Linked DNA regions of Mus musculus. The protein of the gene in region 1 interacts with the protein of each later gene in a biochemical or structural test. Links are inferred from orthologs where the notes say so. Each region holds a gene or a part of one and is shown in the gene's direction. Other genes may lie near its edges. The genes, in order: Cdc34, Pparg, Cdkn1b, Rbx1, Btrc, Fbxw11 and Fbxo7.

Region 1 (4,198 bases):
CCCAGGTGCAGGCTCGCCTGGGAGTAGGGAGAAGTATGTTCCACCTGAAGGGAGGGGCACCCTGTCCGTTTATACATCAAGGGCTTCCTAAGTGCAGGCTGTGGGAGTGGTCATCTCAGACACACAGGAAAACCTGAGCTACTTGCTATGTGCTGACAACTAGGTGACAGTGTAAGATGGGCAGTGTGACATGCACAACAGGGGCAGATACTTCTGGAAGTCCTTGGAAAAGAGCGTGACCAGAAAGACTTCTAGCCCAAGAGTCTAGGGCTCCCAGGGGGAGGACAGCCAAGGTAGTGCCACACATGAAGTGGCATTGGACCCTGGGCTCTTCCCTGGTCATATCAACCAGCCCCACCTTTGACACCGTTTCCCTGTCCCCAAACAGGTCTACCTGCTATCCCCGACATGACAGGATGTCGGAGCACCTGTGGTGGGAGCTGCCCTTTCCCAGCCCCAAGTGTTGATGCAGCTGTAGTCCTCCAGAACGCCCACAGTCAGGGTGAGTGGCCAGTACAGCCTAGGGACAGAACCACCCACCCCTAAAGGTCACGGGTACACCACACACACACCCTGCTGCAAAGCTTAAATATGCTGCCACCACCAATACTAATGACCAAATGTCCAAGAAAGGAGTTATGGGTGTCTGTGCTGAACAACCTCAAGGTCTTTGCGTGTCTGTTCCGGATCCTGTAAACTTTTGGGTTATGCCTCACCACTGCTTTCTGGTCGATTTAAGCAAGACTAGGGTGTGGTCAAAGGTCAGTCTGAAGGGGTTCAGACTCCACCTCCTGGAAGCCACGTCTGCAAACCCCAAGTCGTTGATTCCCTGCGCTTCTACCTGAGCCCATAGAGACCAAATGGGGCCATCTAACGCTTCATGCTGGGAAACAGGGGCGGATCCTGCTCCGCTCCCGCACAAGCCACGCCCAATTCCCCACCCACAACCACGCCCCCTGAACGTCACAAAAAAAGGCCCCCAAAGCCGCAGCTGCCACTCCGCAGCGCGCAGCCCGGCCCTGCCGGCCACCCCGCACACAGGCATCCGCGGAGCTCTTCCGGCCGGAGGCGACGGCGGCCTCCGGAGCTTCGGAAACGCAAGGCGCCTGCGCGGCAGGGCGGGGGACGACGACTACACTTCCCGGTGTGCCCCGCGGGCGGGCGCGCAGACACATTCCGGACCCGGTGGAGGCGTCGCACAGGCGCATTCTAGACCCGGCAGTGGCGCGCAGGTGCATTTCCGGCCCGGCAGCAGCGGCGCGCAGCCGCACTCTAGGCCCGGGTGTGGCACGCAAGCGCTTTCGGGGCCCGAAGGAGGCACGCAGGCGCATTCGGGGTCGGGAGCCGGTGCGCAGGCGCATTCGAGGCCCGGCGGCTGCGGCGCGCAGGCGCGTTAGGCGCGGGCCGGGCCGGGCCGAAGCGAGCGCCGGGCGGGCAGCGGCGCCAGAGCGAGTGGAGCCTTCGGGGTCCCCGGGTGGCGGCGGCGGCGGCGGTGCAGAGGAGGAAGGCGGCGGCTCTCCCCCTGCCGGCGCGCGACCCGGTCCGTCTCGCGAGCTCGCGCCGGTCCCGCGGCCCGGCCCGGCCCCGGGCCCCTCCGTCGCCGCCGCCGCCACCGCCATGGCCCGGCCGCTGGTGCCAAGCTCGCAGAAGGCGCTGCTGCTGGAACTGAAGGGGCTGCAGGAGGAGCCGGTGGAGGGCTTCCGGGTGACGCTGGTGGACGAGGGTGACCTGTACAACTGGGAGGTGGCCATCTTCGGGCCCCCCAACACCTACTATGAGGGCGGCTACTTCAAGGTGAGCAGAGCCTCAGTTTCCTCTTTGTGCCTGCCTCTCTCCCAGGCTCCTCGTGCAAAGCGGCTCCTCCCTTTTTTGTTGGGCACGTGCTGACCTTACCCCGGGGACTGGTCTCCCTAAGCTGTCCTCCAACAGGCTACAGGATCAGGGACTGCTAATGTATGCCGCATGCCCAGGCAACTCCCCACCACGAGACGCAGGGGCCTCTAGAGCCTGCTGCTGGTCAGCGTGTTCCCAGGTTGTCCTACACTGGACTAAACTTGTACCTGGGAAAGGATCTTTCCCTGTTGTCCCCACCCTTCCATAATGCTTCTGGTAAAGGGTCTCTCCGGGGACAGTTGTTTTCCTTCTTGTCCCGTCCCCCTCTCAACCCCCCCCCTCCGGTTAGTTCCCCCTACCCCAAGACACAGAAGCCTCTGGAGCCCCCTGCTGGCAAGCATTTTCCCAGGTTGTTCCTCACCCTACCAGCATGTGGTAAAACCTGGAAAGGTTCTTAGGTTGTCCCAAGACATAAAGGACCACGGGCAGCTGCTAGCTGGTATCCCAAGGCCCTGCCCCCTACGCTGGAACACAGAACCAGGGCAGCCGCTGGCCGATGTGTCCCCAGAGAAGGGACGTGTAGCCTGGACAGCCACCTGCTCCAGTTCCAGTAGAGGCCCTGATAGGGCCTTGGCAGCCTTGCCTGCTTGGACAACAGCCACCTTTAGCCCTAGCCAGGCTTTATGTAATGCATTCCAAGGGGGCAGTGGGGGGTCCACCCTGAATCTTGGAGCCACACCCTGGGTTCCTTCTTTGGGCCCTGGACCCTAGAGCTCTGTGTTTGCCCCACCCTGACAGCCTTTCTCAGGTTCCACTGAACAGGTGGCTTCTTAGGGGCCTGATTTTTCCTTCTAGATAGTGTCGTCTGCCCTCTGGTGGCTTCACGCTCAATGCACCAGATGTTCTTGTGGTTGGGAGCAGGGAACACTGGGAAGCCTCCAACACTGGAAATGTGTGGCCAGCTATAGGTACCCCCATCAGCACAGTTAGATCATCCTGCTTACTGGGGGCTAGAATAACTAGCAGAATCACAGAATCTCATGCTAGGGCCAAAAGGGACAAGATGAGGACCGGGTGGATGCACAAATCCCAGCCAATCTAGGGTCCCTAGTGTAGGGCCATGGTAGATATTTGTTTGTGTGTCTTCTTCCTTGCCTCCCACCTGGATGTGGTCTGAATTAAGAAATATCTGGATGCTCTTAGCACCTTGTCTCCTGTATTTGCTGGGAGGGGCAGTGGGAACTGCCAGGAGGACAAGTTCTGTTCAGAGCAGGGTCACCTGACCTGTTCCTCATCTGTAAAGGGATTGTGGGTAGAGTCTCCTAGACTCACATAATTCTTGAGATAGCTTAGGATGCTCGGCAAGATGTCAATCAAGTCTGTCAGCGTGGGAGCCTCCTGTATGGTGTGGGTGGCTGAGACATGGGGAGACTCTGTAAGGGGGCAACTGTGAGGAGCTTCGTCTGGACAGCCCAGCCTGTTTCACTTTGGGGCTGTCCAGGAAGAGGTTGGGAGCACCCTTCCTGTTCCTGAGCCTCAGTTTGCTCATCCGTATAAAGCATCCGGAGCCACAGACGTGAGGGGTGTTGCAGCAATCCCACTTTCCCCTGCTCTCCTGAGACATCAGGGCTGACAGGCCACACTGGATGTGTGTGTCAGCAGATCCTCTAGCTTGAATTCCTGGCCAGCTCTGAGGTCACAGGCCAGTCTCCCTAAGGGCTCTACTTGTCCAGGGAACACTAGAAGCTGCCTTTGGGGAGCCCCAAGACTAGGGTAAACCTCAGGCCTTCTCTACCTGTCCAGAGTCTGGGGGGCAGTTGGCAGGGTGAACTTTTAGCCACAAGCAACTGCTGTGGCCAGGCAGATGGTTCCAGCTTGTCTGGTGACTATTCTTGGCCTGGGCCCCTGAGCTTGGATAGTGTTAGTTTTAGGCCTGAGGCTGTCCAGGAGATCTGCTGACTCATTCCTCTAGCTAGCCCACACCAAGTGATACTTACTGCCTGGCCTTTCCTAACCTGCATGTCAGGTCACAGAGGTGCTTTGTGTGTCCCAGTGTACAGAGACTGGGGTTGGCTTCAGGACCTGAACACCAGGGGCAGCCACTGCTTTTTGTCCCCGTTGGGCATAACCCCTAATTCCAGTGCTCAAGGGGCTGCCATTGAGCCACCCCATTTTCTACCATCTGTAGGCTCGCCTCAAGTTCCCCATCGACTACCCGTATTCCCCACCAGCCTTCCGGTTCCTCACCAAGATGTGGCACCCAAACATCTATGAGGTAAGACACTAAATACCTGCCTCAGGCACACTCCACCACACACACCTCCTGCCTCCCTTGCACGTGCCCGCCCCTCGTCTAACCCTCGTC
Region 2 (3,500 bases), on another chromosome or scaffold:
AAAAATGTTCAATATCACTAATCCCCAGAGAAAAGCAAATCAAAACTACAGCAAAAATATACTATTCCACGTCTGTTAGAATAGCTAGTCCATGAAGAGAAGAGAGGATATGGAGCAACAGAAACATCTCTAGTGAAGTATACTATACACTGTGCAGCCATTATAGAAAGCAAGTGGAGATTCTCAAAAAATCAAAAGTGGAATTTCCATGTGATTAGCAGCCCTACCACTAGAAATATGGCCAGGGAACTAAAAATTACTATGTCAAAGCTTCTATGCTCCCATGTTTATTATGACACTATTCACTATAGCCAAGATATGAAATCAACATGAGAATCTAAGACATATAAACAAGTAAAAGTAAACAAAAAGCTCTGTGGTATGAACAGACACACACATGCAGAATGCACATGTATACACAGGCATGCATACTCAAACAAGTAAAAAAAAAAACCCATAGTATATATACACACATATGCAGAATGCACACACATGAACATGTATGCACACACACACACATACATACAGTGAAATACTCTATGGCCTTTAAAAAGGAAAAACTTCTGTTTCTTGTAGCAATATAGATGACCCAAAGGAACATTGTACTAAGGAAAACAAACTAGACTCAGGAAACCAGATGCCACATACTCTTGCTAGTTGCCAAGGCCTAGGCGTAGGGAAGACTGGCCAGGGTTTCCATAACACTTTGGAGTCCTGATAGACAGCAAGATGATTATAGTTAGAAATACTGTATCATATAGTTGAAATTTGCTAATGAAGCAGATCTTAAGTTCTCTCAATACAGAAACTCAGGTAAAGGCTGACTTCCTTCTTACCTGGGTGGTACTAGAAAGGCAGTAGTGCACTCACCCCCATAGGGAAGTCTGAGTGAAATGCTTTATTAAACTCATTCAGCTCCTCTCTATGTCTATGAGGACTGCTCTGCCCTCCAGAACTTGACTCATATCCTGTTCTTTTTTTTCCACTTCAGAAATTACCATGGTTGACACAGAGATGCCATTCTGGCCCACCAACTTCGGAATCAGCTCTGTGGACCTCTCCGTGATGGAAGACCACTCGCATTCCTTTGACATCAAGCCCTTTACCACAGTTGATTTCTCCAGCATTTCTGCTCCACACTATGAAGACATTCCATTCACAAGAGCTGACCCAATGGTTGCTGATTACAAATATGACCTGAAGCTCCAAGAATACCAAAGTATGTTTACTTTTCAAACTACTAGGATTGGAGTTAGACAGTTTTTTAATAACCATTGAATAAATGCTCCTGAGATTAGCACTCTGACAAGAAGGCATCTTTACTCAGTTTATCCACTACGCTTGAAGTTCTAGATGTCTGTGGGAGGCCAAGATAAGACAGCACAACAATGTTCCCAACCTAACCCCCTTTCTTCTTCTCCCTCCAATGTTCCCAAACTTACACACACACACACACACACACACACACACACACACACACACACACACGTCTATCTTCTCCTTTCTTTCCTTTCTTGTTTCCATCTTTGGAACATTTTCTAGGATGACTACATTGCCAGTTTTGTCTTAGGCTGACAGTCCATCATGTAAACTTTGAATTCTCCCAGCTTCTTTTCAGTAAGTCATAGCTGTAGGTCAACTTACATGACTCATCATAGCTAAGTTACTATTACAGTTAGGCTTTCTTTCTAAGCTGTAATTTGTAAAATTTACCTCAAACCCTAGTTTGGGGCATAAACTTACATTTGAACATTGTGGCTGACTGACAGATCATCATGACATTAAGTAAATTAACATAAAACATCAGCCTCAAGAAAACCAGAACCAAACTTTTTGAGATAAAGTATCATTTCTGTGGTGCTGTTTCCTTGATTTTTATCTTGTGGGCTGATGTGCTGGTTTTCCAGAGTCACCCCTGTGTCACTGGCAAGCATTACTTGATAATAAGTAAGAACTTCCTGTAATTTCTAGTTGTTTTCTTTAGATAGAAAGTATACGTGGGTATTTATCTGTGTGGCTCAGGGTTAGAGCCTAATACGGAAATTCAATAGGTCTGAGCCACGGGCAAACGCAGTACTTGCCTCACACAGGTTGCTCCCACTCTCTATCAAAGATCACTTTACAAACCACCTCAGACTCAACCCTGTTGATAACCTGGCACCTCGGGCTAGGCTCACCATGGCATTTTCTTGCCCATGTTCCTTCTGTATTTCTTTTGCAAGAAAAGTTTAAAACTATTTCTAAAATTCACCTTTTCAATAAAACCCATAATAGCAGAATGGATGCCAGATGCAGCCCATTGCCTAGCCAAGTAAGCGTCACTTATCCAAACCCTGTGCAATGTCTGTGGAAAGCAGCGGGAAGTTTGGGGGGGGGGGGGGGAAGCACACTTAATTCTCTGGCTTTTAATTCCCTTCCCGCTTTATTTGTGCAGGTGAGGTTCTGGGGTGTTGTGACTTGCCTGAGATGACAAAGTCTTACTTTTCCTATCTGAGCACCAACGTTTCTTCATGTTCCCCAGCGCCTCTTCTGAGACAGTAAAGTTATGGCATGAAAATATGAAGGCCACCATGGAAAGCCACAGTTCCTCTTTAAGATTGTTTGTCATGAGATAACCATCTTCTCAAATTTTCCCATGCACAGGTGCGATCAAAGTAGAACCTGCATCTCCACCTTATTATTCTGAAAAGACCCAGCTCTACAACAGGCCTCATGAAGAACCTTCTAACTCCCTCATGGCCATTGAGTGCCGAGTCTGTGGGGATAAAGCATCAGGCTTCCACTATGGAGTTCATGCTTGTGAAGGATGCAAGGTAAAAATTAAATTTAAAAAAACCATCCTAGAGTTTTCTGCAATTTTGCCTATTCTATTTCCTGTTACAAACTCACTCTAAGAATTTAAAGATAAAGTTGTGGGGAGTTGTTTTGGCAGAACTCATTCTTCAAGTAATATAACATTTGAAAATCTGAGAAAAGCTAATAAAAGCAGCATTACTCTATCCCACTTCCCCTTCCCCAAAATGAGTCTTTGAGGCATCTCAGTGGATCTTGCAGAGGTTTTTTGGGGGTTTTTTTGTTTGTTTTGTTTTGTTTTGTTTTGTTTTTGAAAGGACTTATCCAAGGTATCGCAGCAAGACAGTGAATGATGAGCCAGTACTAGGACCTACATCTTCTGATTTCTCTAGTGTGTTTTTCATCGTGCTATACAATCTCTTAAACAAGAAAGGCTTGATAGACTATATATGTATATCACTTGACCCATGGACTAATGCTGTAATATTAAGCATATTAATATATTAGCACTGTAGAAATTGTGCATCAAAGGCATGGGGTCACTTGAATAGGCTCTTTATTCCCAGGACTACAAAAGGAAAAGCAAAGTTACGGGTTAGTGAGGTCTGTCCCTACCAAGCCCTAATCTAGTGCTGTTCCTGTAGTCCAGCCACAGATCAAGCCTTGTGTAATGGAAGGGCAAAAGGCAACAACTGAGCTCTTCCCTG
Region 3 (4,033 bases), on another chromosome or scaffold:
CTTAAAATCTCACTGAACTCTGAGATACGACAGGCCTGGCTATTCTGTTTTAACTTCTGTCACTGTGCTCAGCAGTGATAGAGAAATGTGAAGTTGCCCAAGGAGCTGAAAAAAACCCACCCAACATTACTAGATGTTGGTAATACCGTGGTGGTGGTATTATAAATCACTTGCAAATCTAGTCTTAGATCCTTAGGAAAGTGTTTTCGCCCTTTAACAACCTGCAGCTCTCTAAAAGTATTTGCTTGTATTTGAATATTGTACTGAGTAGGTTGGAAGCAACAGGCTGGTGGGAGAAAAAAGAGAAGGAAGGCACTGTTGTAGTTGGCGTCTGGACTCAGGTGGAGGGAACGGCTTCGCCCGGGAAAGAACATAAGGGTATAAAGGCGAGTTCCCACACGCTATAGCAATGGCTTTCACTGTGCTTAGGAACCAAGAAAATCAGAACTGGCTTTTTCTGATTTCTGTCTGGGACGGCTCTAAAGAGAGGCTTGGGAGAGCACTGGGGGTTTTCAATCTCGAGATCCTACGGTGGAAGCGCTTGGATTCAGAAACACCCTGATAAGAGCGGTCAGTCCTGGCTTCTTTTTGAAACCACCTCCTGGCCTGTCCTACATAGCAGAGACTTCTGGGGTCAGGCTAAGCGGCCGATTCCGCACCCCAGCTAAGGCACCCTGCCGGGTGGGGGTGGGTGGGCTGCCCCAGGCCCTGAGCCAAGGTTTCCTGAATCTCTCGCATACCCTCCTCCATTCCCACCTCGGCGAATGCAGGTGGGCTGAACTAGCCACCGAAGCTCCTAATAAGCCGCCAGCGACCTAGGAGCCCACTGGTCCAGGCCCTAGGTTTCGCGGGCAAAGACCTGGAGGTCGCAGTCGGGAGCGGTGACGCGCCTGCCAGCGCAGCTCTGCAGCGCCGGGACCTAGATCCCCGGGTCCCTGCCTGGCCGCCGCGCTGGCCCCTCCCCAGCTCTCCGGCCGTTTGGCTAGTTTGTTTGTCTTATTTTTAATTTCTCCGGGGCCAGCCAGAGCAGGTTTGTTGGCAGTCGTACACCTCCGAGTAGTCACGCGACCAGCCAATGTCCTGGCGGCGCTACGGGGAGGCGGCGCGCTCGGGAGCGCGGAGAGGCGGCGGCGCCGCGCCCGGGGCCACCTTAAGAGCGCGCTCGCCAGCCTGGGCGGAGCGGCTCCCGGCGCCGAGACCAATGGAGCTCCTCCTCTGTTTAAATAGACTTGCAGTGTCAATCATCTTCTTCTTCGTCAGCCTCCCTTCCACCGCCATATTGGGCAACTAAAAAAGGAGGGGGGCTCGTGCTTTTGGGGTGTTTTCCCCCCTCATCCCTTGTCCCGACTCACTCGCGGCTCCGAGACTCGCGCGGCGGCAAGGTTTGGAGAGGGGCTGCGTTCGCGGGACACACGGGCTCGCCCCAGCCTACGCTCCGACTGTTTGCCACCTCCTCCTGCCTCCTCCCCTCCCTTCCCCGCCCTCCAGTACACTTGATCACTGAAGCCTCGAGCTGCGCGGCGGCTGGGGTGTCCCTGCGCCTCTCTTCCCCAGACCTGCGCGCTACTGCGGCTCGGGCGGTCGCTCGCCTGGCTCTGCTCCATTTGACTGTCTGTGTGCAGTCGCAGAACTTCGAAGAGGGTTTTGCGCTCCATCCGTGGCGTTTCGCTTTTGTTCGGTTTTGTTGTTTATTTCATTTTTTTTTTTCCGGAGAGAGGCGAGGCGGTGGTCCACACCCGCCCGAGGAGGAAGATGTCAAACGTGAGAGTGTCTAACGGGAGCCCGAGCCTGGAGCGGATGGACGCCAGACAAGCGGAGCACCCCAAGCCTTCCGCCTGCAGAAATCTCTTCGGCCCGGTCAATCATGAAGAACTAACCCGGGACTTGGAGAAGCACTGCCGGGATATGGAAGAAGCGAGTCAGCGCAAGTGGAATTTCGACTTTCAGAATCATAAGCCCCTGGAGGGCAGATACGAGTGGCAGGAGGTGGAGAGGGGCAGCTTGCCCGAGTTCTACTACAGGCCCCCGCGCCCCCCCAAGAGCGCCTGCAAGGTGCTGGCGCAGGAGAGCCAGGATGTCAGCGGGAGCCGCCAGGCGGTGCCTTTAATTGGGTCTCAGGCAAACTCTGAGGACCGGCATTTGGTGGACCAAATGCCTGACTCGTCAGACAATCCGGCTGGGTTAGCGGAGCAGTGTCCAGGGATGAGGAAGCGACCTGCTGCAGAAGGTAGTGACTCTTTGGAAAACTTAAAATGTCTGTCTGTCTGTCTGTCTCCGTAAGCGCCCCTTTACTAGACCCTGTTCACTTGCTTTCTCCAGCGTGTTCTGCTTTAGCTCTGGGAAATCGAACTTGTTTGAAGCTTAGGTTTGACATACCCCCTATCCGACTGCTTGCCCTGTTTATGATTTTGAAGTCAGAAGCCGGAGATAGTAAGATGTGATAACTTCCGTAGCCGAACGCATCACAGTTCCTCCCCTCTAGCCAGCTGTAGATACGTGACAAAAGTTCGGATGTTTACCAACTGCCTCCTCCTTGGCTGGGGTGGGGGGGTGGGGGTGGGGATGGGGGTGGGGAAGAGACGTGGGGTGTAGAATACTCCTTGTGTTAGTGGGAACAACCTTATTTTGTGTCCTTAGATGCTACCGGGGATGACGGGTCCAGGGGTCGTGGGTGGAGGTAGTGAGTGGGTTGTTCATCCCTTGGGCCTACTTCTGTCAGCCATTGTTGTCGATAATAAAGATGGTTTGTGTGTGTTCTCTTAAAAATTTCCCCTTGCCCCCCTCTTAGATTCTTCTTCGCAAAACAAAAGGGCCAACAGAACAGAAGAAAATGTTTCAGACGGTTCCCCGAACGCTGGCACTGTGGAGCAGACGCCCAAGAAGCCCGGCCTTCGACGCCAGACGTAAACAGCTCCGGTGGGTTAATGAGGAAGAACACAAAACTGACACCCCATCTGGGCTGCGCTCCCCGGGGGGCCTGCAGACCCCAGGACTGCTGGCAGATTAGTTGCCTGCCAGGAGGAATTACTTTCCTTGATCAAAAAAATTAACACTGGGGAAGGCTGGAATCACTTGAGGGGACTATAATGCAGTATTTGCACCCCAAGATATTTACCTTAAAGTGGAATCAGAATGAGGTTCCCAAGCAAGAACTTGCCACCAAGGCCCCAAAGGATAGGGACGGTCGTATCCTTATGAATCCCACTAAAACTTAGGCTGGGAATGACAGTTTTCCTTTCCAGTCTCAGTTCATGAGAACCCATTTCCCAGAGGTTCGTTTTGAGCCAATAGCCTATTTTGAACCATTTGAACTGTAGAAAAATGGCAAATATATACTTACATGTATGTTCTTAAGAGAAAAACTAGGTACCCATAGTGCACGTTTGATTAGGAGTGTGAATAGAGCTGCCGTGGCTCGAGTTCTTTTTATCTTTTGCTTTTGTTTTGGTTTTTGGTTTTTTGAGATAGGGTTTCTCTGTGTAACAAACAGCTCGGGCTATTCTGGGAATTGCTCTGTAGACCACGCTGGCTTCGAACTCACAGAGATCTGTATTGTCTCTGCCTCCTGAGTGCTGAGATTAGAGGTTGTGTGCCATCACCTCTGGGTACTTTTTTATTTTTTTTTAAAGTTGTGCCTTGTATGCTGGTAAATTTTGGAGAGAAAGGAACTTCATACTTAAAAAAAAAATTAGACTGGAAAGTTCAGAAGTACTAATGCTCCCACAGAATTGATTTTAACCCTGAGGTTACAAAGCAGAAGTTAAATGAACAGCTAGAGGAAGCAGCCTTCCCACACGTCAGCACCGTATGCTAATTTGCTGGAACAGGACGGTTTGGATGTTTATAGGGGAAATGGATAGTAGATGTTAGGACCAACTGAGAAGGTCCAACACAAGTGTGGATTTTTCCATGTGTCAAAAATCTCATCACCCCACTTGCCTAATTAGAGTAACCCAGCCCCTAAATTTACATAGATTGACTATTCATATGCTCTAACTACTTATAATAGTTTATAAGCTCCTTATGAAGAAAA
Region 4 (4,092 bases), on another chromosome or scaffold:
GTAGACACATAGACCAATGACAGATTTAGTGTGGGAGGTAGAACTTGGGCAGACACACACACACCTTGCAGGGCTCTCACAAGTCTCTGTGCAAGTTAAAACTGTGGTGGTATTCAGGATGTATTGCCCTGCTTAGCAAGTGCATCAATGACACACCGCATTACACACCAGCAAGTATTTCTTTTAACAGAACATTTCAGGACAGGCAGTGGTGGCGCATGCCTTTAATCCCAGCACTTGGGAAGCAGAAGCAGGCAGATTTCTGAGTTCGAAGCCGGCCTAGGTCCAGTCCTGAGTTCCAGGACAGCCAGGGCTACACAGAGAAAAACCCTTTCTGGGGGGGGGGAGGGGCACATTTCCGGTAAAACCCTTTTTGTTGTACTGTTGAGGGAACTAGAACACACAGGAAATTCAAGGGTGATGTATTCTAGTCATAACTCCGCAAATTTAGGAGACAAAACAGCGGAGGGCTGGACTAATCATGGAAGCTTACAAAACGTATGTGTTCTGTAGCTCGATGGTAATGACCGGTAAGAAAATCAGAATGCCTCACCAGAACTCAAGTTCAGCCACTACAAATGTACTAATTTAATCGTAGCACAGTAGCAAAACTCGATAGGAAATGAGGAGAAAGGAGGACCATTTAGAACTGGCTGGTTATGGGATTTACTATGGCATCCCCATCACCTTTCCTGTGAGAAGATAAAGGCAAAGTTGCAGAATGCCTGCTCTGTTTGCTCCTGGGCCTCTTCTCTCCCTATCAAATAATTTCCCAATCTGAAATTGATAACGCAGACGGTGACCAGGCCTTGGTAAGCCGGGCCACAGGCCTCCAGAGAGACACCGCCTGGCTCCGAAGCCGACCACGGTCAGCAGAAGGCCGGTTTGGAGTTTCGGGTTTCCAAAGACCAGCCCATGCCCTTTGCAACCACGGACTCGGGGGCAGCTCTGTGGATCTGGACCAGGGCTTAAGTCCTGGGGCAGAAGAAGGAAGCAGCCGCCGCCCCAAATGAAGGAGTCAGACCACAGGGCTTCCCAGAATGCGAGAAGCATCGAGACCTCACGGACGTTCCCACCGGTTGGCTCCCTTCTCTCGGCCCCGCCCGGCCCCGCCCGGCCCCGCCTCAATCACTCCAGCCTCCTCCCCAGCTGAGAGAGATGGGGAGGAGGGGGGCGGGAAACCTCCGCCTGCGCCTTTAAGGGGCGTGACCGCAGGCTCCGCCCCTTCTCCACGCTCGCGCCAATGAGGGGAGGGGTGCGGGAGGAGGCGCCTGGTGTGCGGGGCAGGCGGCGGAAAGTGAGCCGGTGCGCAGGCGCAGTGGTCACACGACAGACTGTGTGTTTCCAAAATGGCGGCGGCGATGGATGTGGATACCCCCAGCGGCACCAACAGCGGCGCGGGCAAGAAGCGCTTTGAAGTTAAAAAGGTTGGGCTCGCCAGCGCCTTCCTCAAGGAAGCTAGGGAGGCGCGGATATGGCTGGCAGGCCCGAGGAAGAGCTAGGCGCGGGGGAAAGGGCTTCATTTCAGGGCGTTCCTGGGACCGGGCACCAAGAACGGAAGCCGGGGGGCGGGCCTAGGGTTGATCGGCATGCTGGTGGCCCAGTGTCTGGGGCCCTATTAGTCTTGCTGGGGAAGCTGTGGGGCCAATCGCAGAGCTGCTTACTGAAATACGCGAGGTTGACTTCGATGCGGGAGCCAAGCGCTTGAGCTGTCACTGAAGTGACTGAGAGGTGGGGGAAGGACAGGGTGGGGTGGGTGGGATGCAGACTCGTGAAGAGACTGCGGCGGGTGGAGGATGGGGCCGTGCGGAGAACCCCGGGAACGTGAGATGACAGCGCAGAGGGGCTCTGCCGGTGTTCTTGCTCCGCCCCTTCCTGGATCCTAGAATCTATTGACTCCGAGGGACCTGGCGTGGGCCCTCGATTGTATGGCGGCCTCCATTGGCCTCTAAACCCACAGTCAAGTGTAAAGCTTGGTTCTAACGAGATGGCTACTAGTTGTCACATAGCATCTGCCACTCCAGTGGTTCTCTGATGTCCCTGTACACTTCTAACACAAAATGATAATTTAAAAGCCTGGTGGGCTTTGTTTTAAAAGCAAGCCCAGAACTTGTGCCATTTAAGAAGGTGGAGTACTAATTGCTAATGACCTGAGAACAGAAAAACAAAAATATGAAACGTCCTTTTGTATGCCGTTCCCCTTCATAGTTTGCTAGTCCTTTAAAAGTGTTGATTCCTACCTAAGATTACACAGATCTGTTAAAAATGAAGATCTTGAAGAGGGCAAGGTGTTTTCTTTTTATGGATTATTTTTGGAACGTGTCGCTGAGAATATCCCTCACCCCACCCCCTTTTTGTGTCATCTCATTGTGGCCACTGCTGCTCAGTTACAGCCTGCAGCCATTATGAAAAATAAAAATGTAATGTAGAATTTACTAAACTCTTATGCTTGAATTTGGAAAGTCAAACCAAAGTAGTCCTTGAAAAGGGTGCCTTGTCTAACATAAGAAGTCTTAGGTCGACTTACTGGAGCTAACAAAGTAATTGTTTGGATATATGAACGTTGAGAACATCAGTTTACTTGGTAAGAGGAAAAGAAAATCGCAGTGGATTCTACTTTGCTTGCAGTGCTCTTTTAAGGTTTAAGTGATGACCTCGTTCTGTGTACTGAAACTGGGTAGGTAACTTGCTATCCAGCTTATCCTGTGATTATCCACTTAGTGGTCCATTTATTATCTTAGTTCAGTCTGTTCACTTCCTTGCCTCTGAGTCCAAAACTTTGTGGAGAGCCCGTGCTTATGCAGATTTTGAGTTCTTCCACAGCTGTCAGGGAAAGCTGTACAGAAAATAGTACTAATATTCTCACGTTGGTTTGGCTAGCTAAATTATTTTACATTATATATAAAAAATTGAAGATACCCATGTTCATATACTTCATCTTTCAAGGAATGGGGAAGTGTACAGGTGGTCTGCTGTTGTCCTCTGATATAGTCCAAATAGTATAATCCAAAAACATCCTTTCTTTGGTAGGCCCTGTGGCTGGGGCGTTGGTAACTGAAGCTGCAAGCTGAAGTCCTAATGAGCTGTTAGATTACAAGGAAAATGCATTGTTTCCCCTCTTCTCCTTGCAGTGGAATGCAGTGGCCCTCTGGGCCTGGGACATTGTGGTTGATAACTGTGCCATCTGCAGGAACCACATTATGGATCTTTGTAAGTAACTCGGGGCAGATGGGAAGAAGTTGAGAAGGTTACAGAAATGGTGGTCATCCTGGTGTGCCCAATTGTCTTCTTTACCAGTGAATACAAAGCAGGCTCAGAACCCTTAGGCACTTGTGTATCTCATCCATTGGTGTGTTTGAAGTAGATTGTTTTGTGGTTGTTTGTGGAGACAGAGTTTTTTGTGTAGCCCTAGCTCTACTAGAACTCACTTTGTAGTAGACCAGGCTGGCCTTGAACTAGAGATCCACCTGCCTCTGCCTCCTGAATTAAATTGTTTCTTTTCTTTTCTTTTTTTTTTTTTTTTTTTTTTTTTTTGTGGGGTTTTTTTTTTTTTTTTGTGGGTTTTTTTTTTTTCTTTCTTTCTTTTTTTTCCCCCCAGACAGGGTTTCTCTGTGTAGCCCTGGCTGTCCTGGAACTCACTTTGTAGACCAGGCTGGCCTTGGACTCAGAAATCCACCTGCCTCTGCTTCCCAAGCGCTGGGATTAGAGGCGTGCACCACCACCGGTTAAGTTGTTTCTTAAAACAATGTCTTGGAGGCGTACCTTGCTCTCAGAATGAATTATTCATTGTAAATCAGGCAAGATCCCATTTAAAATGGGGTGTAGATAGAGTTGCCTTTTATTTCCTTCTTAGACAGCCATAAAGGCAAAAATAGTGGAAGAAAATGACCTTTGAAGGTAGATATAGTGGTATATGCCTGGAATCCCAGCATTTGAAAGGCAGTGGCAGGAGTATTGTTACAAATTACAGGCCCATCAGGGCTAAGATTTGAACTACAGTACTCTTACCTAAGCTAGTTTTTGTTGAACAAGATTACAATCACAGATTGGAGAGATGGTTCAGGAGTTAAGAACATTGGCTGCCCTTCCAGA
Region 5 (3,500 bases), on another chromosome or scaffold:
TCGGTCCTTTCCGTTCATGCCTGCAGACAGCAGACTGGAGGAATCCTTCCCCTTGTGAGCCTTGAGAAAGCCTCGGGGATGACTAGTTGTGACTGGCTGACCTGAGAACTTAGGACAGCAATGCCAGAAGTGTTATTAGAGTGGCCATCCTGTTTGACAGGCTCTTCTCCACCGAGGCTTTGGGGCCTATTGGGTGCTAAAGAGCTTTAATTGGGAAGTACGGTATCAGCCTGCCATATTTTTCCTTTGAAACGCTACCCTCATTTACTGGTAAGATTTTTTTATTCCATTTTAGGTCAGTTGTCACTTAGGTTTTATAGCAGTAAAATTTGTTTTGTTTTGTTTTTAGCACATGCAATCAGACTCCTTTGAACCCTAGTATCCCCATGTGTCTCTCCTCTCAGGGTGCTCCTGGGCCCTGTGCTCATCCCTCTCCTGAATGCCCACACGCCACGTCCCAGATCAGTCTGACTTGCTGCCTCTCTCTCCCTAGTACATTTAAAGGATATTTCTTTCGTTGAATAGCTTTGGAACAGCAGCAGTAATAGAACAGAATGAGAAATGGACCTAATATCAGGATTTCGGGGGGTCTGAATCACTGAGTTTGAGATGCCGTCTGTAGAACATCCCCTAGTGTTGAAATCCATATAGATAGATGTGAACTGTTTTCTGGACTCCTTTTTATTTTTAATGTCTTGGGGGGTTTGCTGGTTGTTAGCTTTAACTTCCTTATCTAACAGAAGATGGAAAATACTGTTCATTTCTGTAACCTTATGGAAAAATTATTGACACTCATTTTCCCCAAGTCTCTGTTTGAGCAAAGCTGGACCACGCTGGGGAGAGCGGTGTGCCTTTATCTCAGGCATGTGCTGCTCTTTTAAAGGGCTTTCTGTGAAGAATCGCTCAGCACCCGCTCTGTTCTTTTTCTGTGCTCCCTCCCCTCACTGAAGCACGGGGTCTGGACCACATCGCTGAGAACATTCTGTCATACTTGGACGCCAAGTCACTGTGTGCTGCTGAGCTCGTGTGCAAGGAATGGTACCGCGTGACGTCGGACGGCATGCTGTGGAAAAAGCTCATCGAGAGGATGGTCAGGACGGACTCTCTGTGGCGAGGCCTGGCAGAGCGCAGAGGCTGGTGAGCCTCCCTTTCTCTCCCTGTGGCAGCCCCGGGCCTGGCTCCTGGGCACGGCCAAGTGTCAGGAGCCAGCGAGGTCACTGCGCATCGTCTGTAGTCCTTGTGAAGTTTATAGCTAAAAATATAAGCAAATGTTGTCTGTGTACTCCGTAGCTTTTCTTCTGACCAGTCAATCATAAGATGACATGTTTTACAAAAGAAAAAAGAAAAGTGACCACCCTCCTAATTAAAGAATTCTGCTCTCTGGGCAGAAGTTAGAATTTTGCAGAAAGCCTGAGAGACAATTTTTAAGGAAGAAAAGATAGCTTCCAATCAGGTAGAAAGAACCCACTCCTGCTTCCTCCTCTTCTTCTGGGGAAGATGGAGTCACTATTCTTCACCAGAGTTCCTCTATGTAGTCCCCACCTCCAGTGTCTCATCATCATTGTAATCAAAATTTAATTTTTATGCCCAAGTAGAATTAAGCTATAGCTACCAGAAAGAATGAAAAATGAAATTTAGGATAAACCATTTGTTTCTTCTTAAAACTTGTGTCTTTAGATTTGCTTGTTTAATTATGAATTCCCTAAGGCCTGTGTAGTCAGTGGCCTGAAAGACTTCCCCAGTAGTGTTCCCTGGGCATAATGGCACTATTTCATTAAAACTTCTTGAAGATATTTTTCTTTTTAGAATTTTGCCTCAGAGTGTGTCTCTAGAATGTCACTATAAGAAAGTCAGGTATGAATAATTCATTAAATAAGTTATTAAGTATATTTGATAAAAAATGATAATAGACATGTCTATGCCCAGTGATTGCCTTCAAAATTAACCTTTTTTTTTTCTGTTCTTTTCTGGTCTGGTGTCATATGCAACCTCAAATAGTTAAGATTACTAAAGGGAAGCTAGGTATGGTAGTACATGGCCTGCTTTTCCAAGAAGTAGAAAGGAGGCTAGTACATATGTGACCCACTCTCCCTCTGCAGCATGACCCTGTCTCAAAACAAGTGTAAAAATAGCTAAGGGCTGCAGGTGCCCTCATTGTGTGTGTGTGTGTGTGTGTGTGTGTGTGTGTGTGTGTATGTATGTATACACAAACACACCACACACACACCACACACACACACATATGGCTGGCTTTGGGTCCAGTCCTCAGCACTATAAGCAAAAAACCAAACTTTGACTTAGTTGGGTGACGTGGTAATCCACACCTGTGATCCCAGCAGGTAGGGAAATTGAGGCAGGAAAGAAAGACAGATGCATATGAATCAACTTTCCTTCACATTTTTATAAAATTACACTTGGCTCTCTCACTTTGATGTCGTTGAAATTCGTGGGTTCATTAAAGTGTTGGCCTGAGTGTCCTGGTAAGCACTTGAGAGATGTCTCAAGCTCTTAAAACCTTTACTCTGCAGCCCAGCTTCAGGATTCACACACTAGCCACGTCCTTGCTATGACTGCAAACCGGGGCTGACTGTCATTTCTTTCTCTTTTTTTCCCTTTCAGATTTTTTTTTAACTTCTTTCTATGTGGGAAAATAGAAACTGCCTTTGCTTACTGACTTCATACTCTGATAGTTATCATGTGTGGCATTCAGAGACCATTATTTGCTGAATCCAAGACCAGCTTTCAAAGTGGAGCACACAGTTGTTTACTTGGGGAAATTTCAGGGTGTCTGGGAAGATTCTCTAACTCTTAGGAAAGCAAAGAAATTCTCCTCCAGATAATTCAGGCTTTAAGTCTCAATTTGAAAAACTCAATTCTTGGCTACAAAGATTTCATGCCCTGTTAAGAAACTTTGTTTCCGTTCGTCCTGTGAATGATAATAAGTTTCAGCATAAGCATTAACCTGCCAGGAAGGCAGGAGACAGAAGTGCCCTGCTGATGTGTGCAGGGCCCCTGTAAGTGCAGTGAAAAGGCAGACTCTTGTTTAGGGTTGGTCCTAAACAGCGGGCTCTTTTAGGTTGGATATTAAGACAGTAACAAAGAACTATCATTGAAAAGATAGTTTTTTGGACTCTTTTTAAAAAAATAATTTTTGTGGTGCCTGGAATAAAGCTGAGGGCTTTGTACATTACATGTTAGGCAATTTTTCTGTTCCTAAGTTACCTCCTAGTGCACTTTTTAGCCTTTTGAAAGAGCTGAGGTGTATCCTTGCCTCTCCACAGCCTCTGAACTTCCTCCCACCCTTTGCAAGCCATCCAGCTTTTTACCCAAGTTCCCTTGTCTTTGATCAAATTGATACACTTTGATATGACTTGTTATAGTTCCATGAAGTGGTAAATACAGATGCTGTGTGCTCTGTGAATGTGCTTAGTGTCTCCAGGTAATACCAGGTGTACCTCCCTCCCATTTCTTTTATTGTCTTTCTGTTCAGGGTGATAGTG
Region 6 (3,500 bases), on another chromosome or scaffold:
CTGGACTCAAAAGTTGAGTGTGGACAGCTGTACCTGCTGTCTACTGGTTTCAAAGTCTAAGAATCCAGATCAGCTAGTCTTAGAGGCTGATGGCTTTTAATCTTGGATAGTCCCTGAGGCTGGGTCTTCTGGTGGGCACACCCTACTTCCTCATTGAACCGGGCCATGGTCTCAGGCCAGGGTGCCCTTGCTGCCTTTCAGATCCTGTAGCCAGAGTTTGTTTATTTTGACACAGAGAGTGCCCTGGATTGTTACTGTATGTTTGTGTTCTGTGTTCTCTACCTAAGAGCTAAGACTATCCTTTGTACTGATGAATATATTCGTAGCTGATCAGAACTGGGTGTAACTTCTAGCTAATCCAGTTTGCAGCAGGTTAAATTCTTTCTTTGCTTATTTATAAAGGAAAACAATGAGAAACACTACCAAGATTATTGGCTTAATCTTTAACCAAGCAGATTTAGTTCAGAGTCTAGATGTTCCTCAGTGTACTGTGGGATTACATCCGATAAATTCATGTTAAGTTGTAGGTTGAAATGTGTATAAATGTCCTTAACCTGCTGAGCGACCTACTTGAGAAACACATTGTAGATTCCAGGTGTGTTCCTCTTGTGCTGTAGTGGCTGGTCACGGCTTGCTACTGTCATACAGCATCCAATTGGCTAGCCAGGGAAAGGATCAAAATTCAAAATACAGTTCCTCTTGAATCTATATTATTGTTTTTGCATTTTAAGTCCAAAATTGAAAAAGTTAAGCTTAACCATTAAAAGTGAGGAAAGGGGGGTGGTGGTGGTGGGGGGAATGTGTGCTCATGCAGCTGTGTAGGAAGAATCTTGATATGCATCTTAGGCAGGCTTTGAACTTGACATCTTGTGTCTCAGTTTCTAGATTCCAAGTATTTGCCCTCATAATTGGCTTTATGCCTCCTTGGAATGCAGTATGCTTCTCGTTGATCTTTCTCATACTTCCTGATACTGGGAATATGCTAACAGCCCATTAAACAACACATGATGTTAGAGAAGTGGACACCCCCCAACACACACACACACACACACAAACACACACACACATAGGGGGTGGGAGATGCGGGGGTGGGGTGGGGAGGAGGTGTTTTCTCTATTGTTCTGGCTGTCCTGGAACTCCCTCAGTAGATCAGCCTGAACTCCAACTCAGATCCTCCTGCCTCTGCTGCGAGTAAAGACATGCACCACCACCAGTCTGTCTGCCTGCCTGCCTTCTTGCCTTCTTTCCTTCTTTCCTTCTTTCCTTCTTTCCTTCTTTCCTTCTTTCCTTCTTTCCTTCCTTCCTTCCTTCCTTCCTTCCTTCCTTCCTTCCTTCCTTCCCCTTTTTATTTTTTTAATTCTTATTTACAGTGATTTCAGTCTGGCAGGAGCTTAGAACTGATGCACTAGCACAATGTCCTGTCTTTTCAGTGATCAGGCAACGCTTCAGTTAGTGCTTAGTAATATGGCAGTCTTTTGCCAGGTGTTTTAATTGGCATTAGGAAGTGACTCAGTGAGTTACTGTTTGTATTTTGGGGGCAAGGGATGTTCTTTAAACGTACTGAATTCTGTCTAGGCTGTTTCAAATCTAACCCAGAGCTCACTGGAAATCCCATAATGCCTGCCAGGTAGGCAGGGAGGGTTTAAGAAGAAACATTGTTGTCTAGTGTTTTATTGGGAAAAGAGAAAAGTTGGGGGTCTCTGGTGGGAAGCAATACCAGATTGTTAAACCTTACAGAACATTTGGCTCACAAAACCCCACCTCTTGCCTCCTTTCTCCAGACCATAGAATCCAACTGGCGGTGTGGACGACACAACTTGCAGAGGATCCAGTGCCGCTCTGAAAATAGTAAGGGTGTCTACTGTTTGCAATATGATGATGACAAAATTATCAGTGGCCTCCGGGACAACTCTATCAAGGCAAGTTACTGATCTGTGTTATTGTAGTATAATACATACACGTGGTGCTTAGGGGTAAGGTGCTGTTGTGTGGCAGTCTCTACTACTGCTGATAGGTTTTTATCTGTTCTCAGCATCAGCAGTTCTCATAGTTCAGAAGAAACCAGAACCAGCACTGTCGCCCTTGTCTGATCTCACGTGTCTCTGAGCACATTCATACTCATCCTCTCTGTTTATGATCTCTTCCCCCCCCCCCCCCCCATTCACTTGTCTTGTTCCTTCAGGCTCTCCTCATACCCAGGAACCCAGTGGCCTTCCCACCACTGTATTTAGAGAGGGAGAGAGAGAGAGTGTGTGTGTGTGTGTGTGTGTGTGTATAAAATCTAGCCCTTCCTATCAGTGTATAACATGTAACAGATTTTTGAACTGACTTGTTATACTCAGTTCAGATGCATTTAGCCTCACTCTCCTGCTTTGTTTAGCAGTAGTTCATTACTTCTTGTTGTGAAGTAGCATTCCATATTATTGGGTACATCATAGTGTGGTAATCTATTTAGTTCTCAAGGATGTGCATGCTGCTTGGGACTTCCTCAGAATTGTAAATGAAACCTCTAGCAATACACGTGTGCAAGGTTTTGCTGGAATGTTAAGTTCAGATCAGTTGAGTGAGTGAAAACCTGGAAGCTGGATTGCCGCCTCGTATGGTAAAATGACCTTGGGTTTAGGGATGACATTGCAGATGTAATACCAGACTATGGTCTGTGAAGAAAGAATTGATGGGGTAGTCTTCATTAGTGTGTCAGTTTTCTGCTCTGAGAGAAAATCCAGGCTTCAGATTGACAGGATATACATGTAAAAGACATCTGATGAGGGAGTCCTAGTTAAAGTGTGTAGAAACTATAAAAACCCAACAATAAGGAAATAAAACACATTTTAAAAACAGGCAGAGACCTTAGTAGATAGAGCTCTAAAGAGCGTGTCTAACCAGCAAAGCAGCATTTACAAAGATGGCCATGTTGTCAGCCTTCAAAGAAAGGGAAGCATCTGGGAGAAGCATCGAATTCCATTAGTGTGGTGACTACTAGGGCCCGGGAAGAAGGGGAGGAGTCCAGCAGAGCCTGCATCCCATGCTTGTGGAAATGGAAAGTGGGCCAGCTGCTTTGGAAGGCAGTTTGGCGCTTTCTTAGTAAACACTCTTATCATATGATCCAGTGCTTATATTACTTAGTATTTGCTCAGAGGAGTCGAAAACTTAGTCCACCCCAAACCTGCACACATTTGCAGCAGCTTAATTCCTAGGCAGGCCTTGGGAATGAGCAGGTGTTCTGCAGTGGGCGTGGGTAAGCTGCAGGGTGCCCAGGTAGTGTGCTAACTTTAAAGCATTGAAAAGAATTTGCTTAACAAGCCATGACAGAGTGAAAAAGGCTGCCCGATGGAGGAGGATTGGTTCAGTGTGTGCTGTTCTGAAAGAGCAGCTCTGAAGAAGAGGAAGGAAGGGAAGGAAGAGCTCAGGCCTGAGAGGAGCCGTTTGTTCTTAAGGCCCTGCTTCCCTTCCCTTCCAGAAGCTGCCCGCTCTGTCATCTCATGACCTGTTTCAATTCT
Region 7 (3,500 bases), about 6.3 Mb from region 1:
GGGTTAGATTAGGCAGACGTAGCATGCATGTAGTGTTTTTCTGCTTGACTCTGTACCAATTTTTCTCTAAGAACATTCAGGGACACAGTCTTAAAGTACAATTGTGGGAAACAGTACTGCCTGTCTTGAGGAAATCCTGAGTTTTCAACTGGGACATAAGATGTGATTGGCTCCTTAACTTTGGGTAACTGGCAGGAGTACATGGTGTATATGAGACAAGAAGGGGAGGCAGGCACTCTGAGGAGGTGCTGTTCCTGGAACTCAGGAGACACATAATGGGGGTATGAGGTACAGTGGCACAGGAAGTACAGCTTTAGAGAGATCTGGGCATGGTAGTGGTTGGAGCTATGAGCACAATTAGGTACTGTTTAGTAAGTGTATGGAGACTTACCGATGAGCTCCATGTTTTTAGCCTGGAGTTATGGGACTCAGGACAGAGGTGTAGGTTGCAGTGTCATTTATTTATAAGAGCTTCCTATATCTGAACCTCATGCTGGCTTTTGTTTTGAGCACTAATCTCTGCTCAGTTTAGGTTATAAAATGTCCTATGTAAAATTAATGAATCTATTATCCTTTTTAGGAAGGGCCTAGTCAAAATGTTGAAGCTGAGTCAATTCAGGATGCCATGAGTATGGAAGAGGTTTCTGGTTTCCATCCATTGGAACCAATGCTCTGTAATGAAACAGAGGATGGGCAGGTACCACATTCTCTAGAGACCCTGTACCAGTCAGCTGGCTGCTCCAACATCAGTGATGCCTTGATAGTGCTGGTGCATCTCCTGATGCTCGAGTCAGGCTACATTCCTCAGGTGAGTGCAACCCAAATACCTTAGGAGGTGTGGTGATTTGAATATGCTTGGCCCAAGGAGTGGCACTATCAGGAGGTGTGACCTTGTTGGAGGAAGTGTGTCACTGTTGGGATGGGCAATGAGACCTTCCTCCTAACCACATGGGAGCCAGTCTTCTCTTAGTGGCCTTCAGATGAAGATGTAGAACTCTCAGCTCCTCCTGCACCATGCCTGCCTGGTAGCTGCCATGTTCCTGTCTTGATGATGATAATGGACTGAATCTCTGAACCTCTGAGCCAGCCCCAAGTAAATGGCTGTCCTTATAAGAGTTGCCTTGGTCATGGTGTCTGTTCATAGCAGTAAAGCCCTAACTAAGTCATGATGTCTCCCTGGGTACTTCACAAGGGCATCGTGATAGTCTATCTTCCTTTACTAAATGTGATTGGTTCTTGAATATAAAATGTCAGACACAGTGAGGAGTTGTCACAGGTACTCAGTAAATGTGCCCTTTCCAGCATTCCTTCTTTTTCCATCATTTCCCTTGTTAGCATTTAGTATTGCCCAGAGATAATGGCAACTGGTCCAAAAGGGGGGAAAAAAAGACACAAGGTTTTATATACTATAATATCAAGATAAAGTGTGGCAGTGTGGACTGAGTATGAATGATGCTGACTAATTAATGTGTCGTGTTCATAGGCTTGTGCTGTGGTTGCTTATCGTCATTCAGCATGGGTTTGTTAAGCATCTACTAATTCAGTGACTTGTTTCTGTTCCTGGTCTTAGGTCTTTGTTTAAGTTACTGTTAGTCTGAGAGTAGAGAAGAATTTAGACCATTATAGTATAATGTGTAAGTTCTAGGAGAGACACTTACACATCCAGAGTGCCAGGGACTCTGGATGAAGAGTTAGAGTGGAGCTGGGAATCCATGGGACCGTATTAGAGCCGAGATTCTGACTTGTAAGCTGAGGATAGAGCTGGGCTTCTTGCATACTCTGGCCTGACCCCTGCGCTGCTGGCCTGTACATGTTCCCTGTGGCCATGGATAGAGCACAAAGATGGAGAGTAACCCAGGATCAGGGAACGCCTGTGCACACATTTCTCAGAGTTCACAAAGGAGCACAAAAGACCAGACAAATATGGCATATTACAAATAACAGTGTAAATTGACAAAGAATAATAAATATGCAGTGATAGAAATGTGAGTAAATGTTAGAAAATAACTTTTCTAAAAAGGGCTGTATGAAGGAAGTGCTATTCACCCTGCAGTCTTGAGTAATGGTATGTCTTTACTAGGTAGAAAATGTGAGCCTTAGAAGAGAAAAATTAAGCCTTATTTCTATGATGTCATCTTATCTATTAAAATGAATATTTTGATAGAAAAATATTATCCTCCTTTAGTGTTAATGATGTGCATATTATGTTGAGGCTATGCGTCTTTATAAAAATGTGTGAGGTGTGTGTCTGTGGGGCGTGTGCATACCATGTAGCATGTGTGGCAGTCAGCAGAGATCTGTGGAGTTGGTTGTCTGCCTTCACCTTTCTGTGGCTCACCTTGAGTATCAGGCTTCTGTGACAAAGCACTTTATCTGCTGAGCCTCGTCGGTAGCTTAAGGGGGGCTGTGTTGCACAGTAAGTTAGGGGTGTTAACTGACTTTCAGGTTTTTCAACACAACGCCTTTCTTCATTATTTTTCCTTTCCTTTCATTCTTCAGGGAACTGAAACCAAAGCAGTGACAATGCCTGAGAAGTGGAAGTCAAGTGGTGTATACAAACTGCAGTACACACATCCTCTCTGCGAGGGCGGCTTTGCCGTGCTTACCTGTGTGCCTTTGGGAAACTTAATCATTATAAATGGTAATGGGACGGAGCAGTCATGGTTGCTGCCTTATGAATTAAGTAGTTTCTTTATAAACATTCTGTAGCCACTTGAGTGTCTGTCCGAGTCGTTCACAACTTAATTCCTATACCACTGATGACATATGCCTGAAAGATTTCAAATGCGAGGATGTTGGTTTAGAACAGCACCCTTCACTCTCAGGGTAGCCCCCTTGTTTTCTTTTTGACCGTTTGTTTTTATTTTACGTTTTGAGTGTTTTCCCTATCTGTCTGTGCATCATCACATGCATGTGGTGCCTGTGGAAGCCAGAAGAGGTGTCAGATCCCCTGCGATTGGTGTTACAGATGCTGCGAACTGCCATGTGGGTGCTCGGAATTGAACTAGGCTCCTCTGTAAGAACAGCCAGTGCCTATAACTAACCGTTGAGCCACCTCTCCAGCCTCAGCTCTTTCTTGCGATGTCTCATTTTTTGAACACTTGGTTCTGTGAGAGCTGTGGTAATAGAAATAAAATGAGTTTTACTGTGTAGAAACTTAGAAGAGTGTTCTTTTGTGCATGTCTGTGAATGTCTCTTTTTATTTACTTCTTTAAGTCTTAACCTGTGGTTGCATTTCATGTTAGTCATGATGTCACACAGGTCTTTCCCAACCACCACTGGTTTCTGGAATGTTCTCATGATCTCACAGTAGGAGATCCATTTGGGTGACCAGGATTTTACATCTCATTCTGATCTTTTGTTTTATTTTTATACTTTTGAAATTGGGTCTGTATAGCCCAAACTGAACTCAAATTCTTTATGTAGCTGAAGCTGGCCTTGTACTTGTGGTTCTTCTGTCTCTGTCTCTCAAGTTCTGGGGTTGTGGGTGTGTACCACCT

Evidence for each region.
Region 2: the proteins of Cdc34 (region 1) and Pparg form a complex in vitro, tested with the Homo sapiens proteins (2 studies listed by BioGRID). The link is inferred for Mus musculus from reciprocal best matches to the Homo sapiens genes CDC34 and PPARG.
Region 3: of the proteins of Cdc34 (region 1) and Cdkn1b, one has a biochemical effect on the other in vitro, tested with the Homo sapiens proteins (3 studies listed by BioGRID, with this or other methods). The link is inferred for Mus musculus from reciprocal best matches to the Homo sapiens genes CDC34 and CDKN1B.
Region 4: the proteins of Cdc34 (region 1) and Rbx1 form a complex in vitro, tested with the Homo sapiens proteins (84 studies listed by BioGRID and IntAct, with this or other methods). The link is inferred for Mus musculus from reciprocal best matches to the Homo sapiens genes CDC34 and RBX1.
Region 5: the proteins of Cdc34 (region 1) and Btrc form a complex in vitro, tested with the Homo sapiens proteins (4 studies listed by BioGRID and IntAct, with this or other methods). The link is inferred for Mus musculus from reciprocal best matches to the Homo sapiens genes CDC34 and BTRC.
Region 6: the proteins of Cdc34 (region 1) and Fbxw11 form a complex in vitro, tested with the Homo sapiens proteins (2 studies listed by BioGRID). The link is inferred for Mus musculus from reciprocal best matches to the Homo sapiens genes CDC34 and FBXW11.
Region 7: the proteins of Cdc34 (region 1) and Fbxo7 form a complex in vitro, tested with the Homo sapiens proteins (2 studies listed by BioGRID, with this or other methods). The link is inferred for Mus musculus from reciprocal best matches to the Homo sapiens genes CDC34 and FBXO7.

The regions. Positions count from the first base shown.
Region 1 is NC_000076.6:79,680,797-79,684,994, forward strand, and holds the start of Cdc34 (ubiquitin-conjugating enzyme E2 R1), read left to right. Parts: upstream 1-1,398; 5' UTR 1,399-1,617; coding exon 1,618-1,794; intron 1,795-4,021; coding exon 4,022-4,108; intron 4,109-4,198. UniProt on the Homo sapiens protein: E2 ubiquitin-conjugating enzyme that accepts ubiquitin from an E1 ubiquitin-activating protein, and catalyzes its covalent attachment to other proteins by an E3 ubiquitin-protein ligase complex. In vitro catalyzes 'Lys-48'-linked polyubiquitination.
Region 2 is NC_000072.6:115,438,849-115,442,348, forward strand, and holds part of Pparg (peroxisome proliferator-activated receptor gamma), read left to right. Parts: intron 1-991; coding exon of another isoform or gene 992-999; coding exon 1,000-1,219; intron 1,220-2,643; coding exon 2,644-2,813; intron 2,814-3,500. UniProt on the Homo sapiens protein: Nuclear receptor that binds peroxisome proliferators such as hypolipidemic drugs and fatty acids.
Region 3 is NC_000072.6:134,919,168-134,923,200, forward strand, and holds the start of Cdkn1b (cyclin-dependent kinase inhibitor 1B), read left to right. Parts: upstream 1-1,233; 5' UTR 1,234-1,752; coding exon 1,753-2,227; intron 2,228-2,788; coding exon 2,789-2,907; 3' UTR 2,908-2,916; intron 2,917-4,033. UniProt on the Homo sapiens protein: Important regulator of cell cycle progression. Inhibits the kinase activity of CDK2 bound to cyclin A, but has little inhibitory activity on CDK2 bound to SPDYA. Involved in G1 arrest. Potent inhibitor of cyclin E- and cyclin A-CDK2 complexes.
Region 4 is NC_000081.6:81,465,024-81,469,115, forward strand, and holds the start of Rbx1 (E3 ubiquitin-protein ligase RBX1), read left to right. Parts: upstream 1-1,292; 5' UTR 1,293-1,349; coding exon 1,350-1,427; intron 1,428-3,131; coding exon 3,132-3,210; intron 3,211-4,092. UniProt on the Homo sapiens protein: E3 ubiquitin ligase component of multiple cullin-RING-based E3 ubiquitin-protein ligase (CRLs) complexes which mediate the ubiquitination and subsequent proteasomal degradation of target proteins, including proteins involved in cell cycle progression, signal transduction, transcription and transcription-coupled nucleotide excision repair.
Region 5 is NC_000085.6:45,506,734-45,510,233, forward strand, and holds part of Btrc (F-box/WD repeat-containing protein 1A), read left to right. Parts: intron 1-950; coding exon 951-1,137; intron 1,138-3,500. UniProt on the Homo sapiens protein: Substrate recognition component of a SCF (SKP1-CUL1-F-box protein) E3 ubiquitin-protein ligase complex which mediates the ubiquitination and subsequent proteasomal degradation of target proteins. Recognizes and binds to phosphorylated target proteins.
Region 6 is NC_000077.6:32,729,555-32,733,054, forward strand, and holds part of Fbxw11 (F-box/WD repeat-containing protein 11), read left to right. Parts: intron 1-1,781; coding exon 1,782-1,919; intron 1,920-3,500.
Region 7 is NC_000076.6:86,028,429-86,031,928, forward strand, and holds part of Fbxo7 (F-box only protein 7), read left to right. Parts: intron 1-580; coding exon 581-808; intron 809-2,499; coding exon 2,500-2,641; intron 2,642-3,500. UniProt on the Homo sapiens protein: Substrate recognition component of a SCF (SKP1-CUL1-F-box protein) E3 ubiquitin-protein ligase complex which mediates the ubiquitination and subsequent proteasomal degradation of target proteins and plays a role in several biological processes such as cell cycle, cell proliferation, or maintenance of chromosome stability.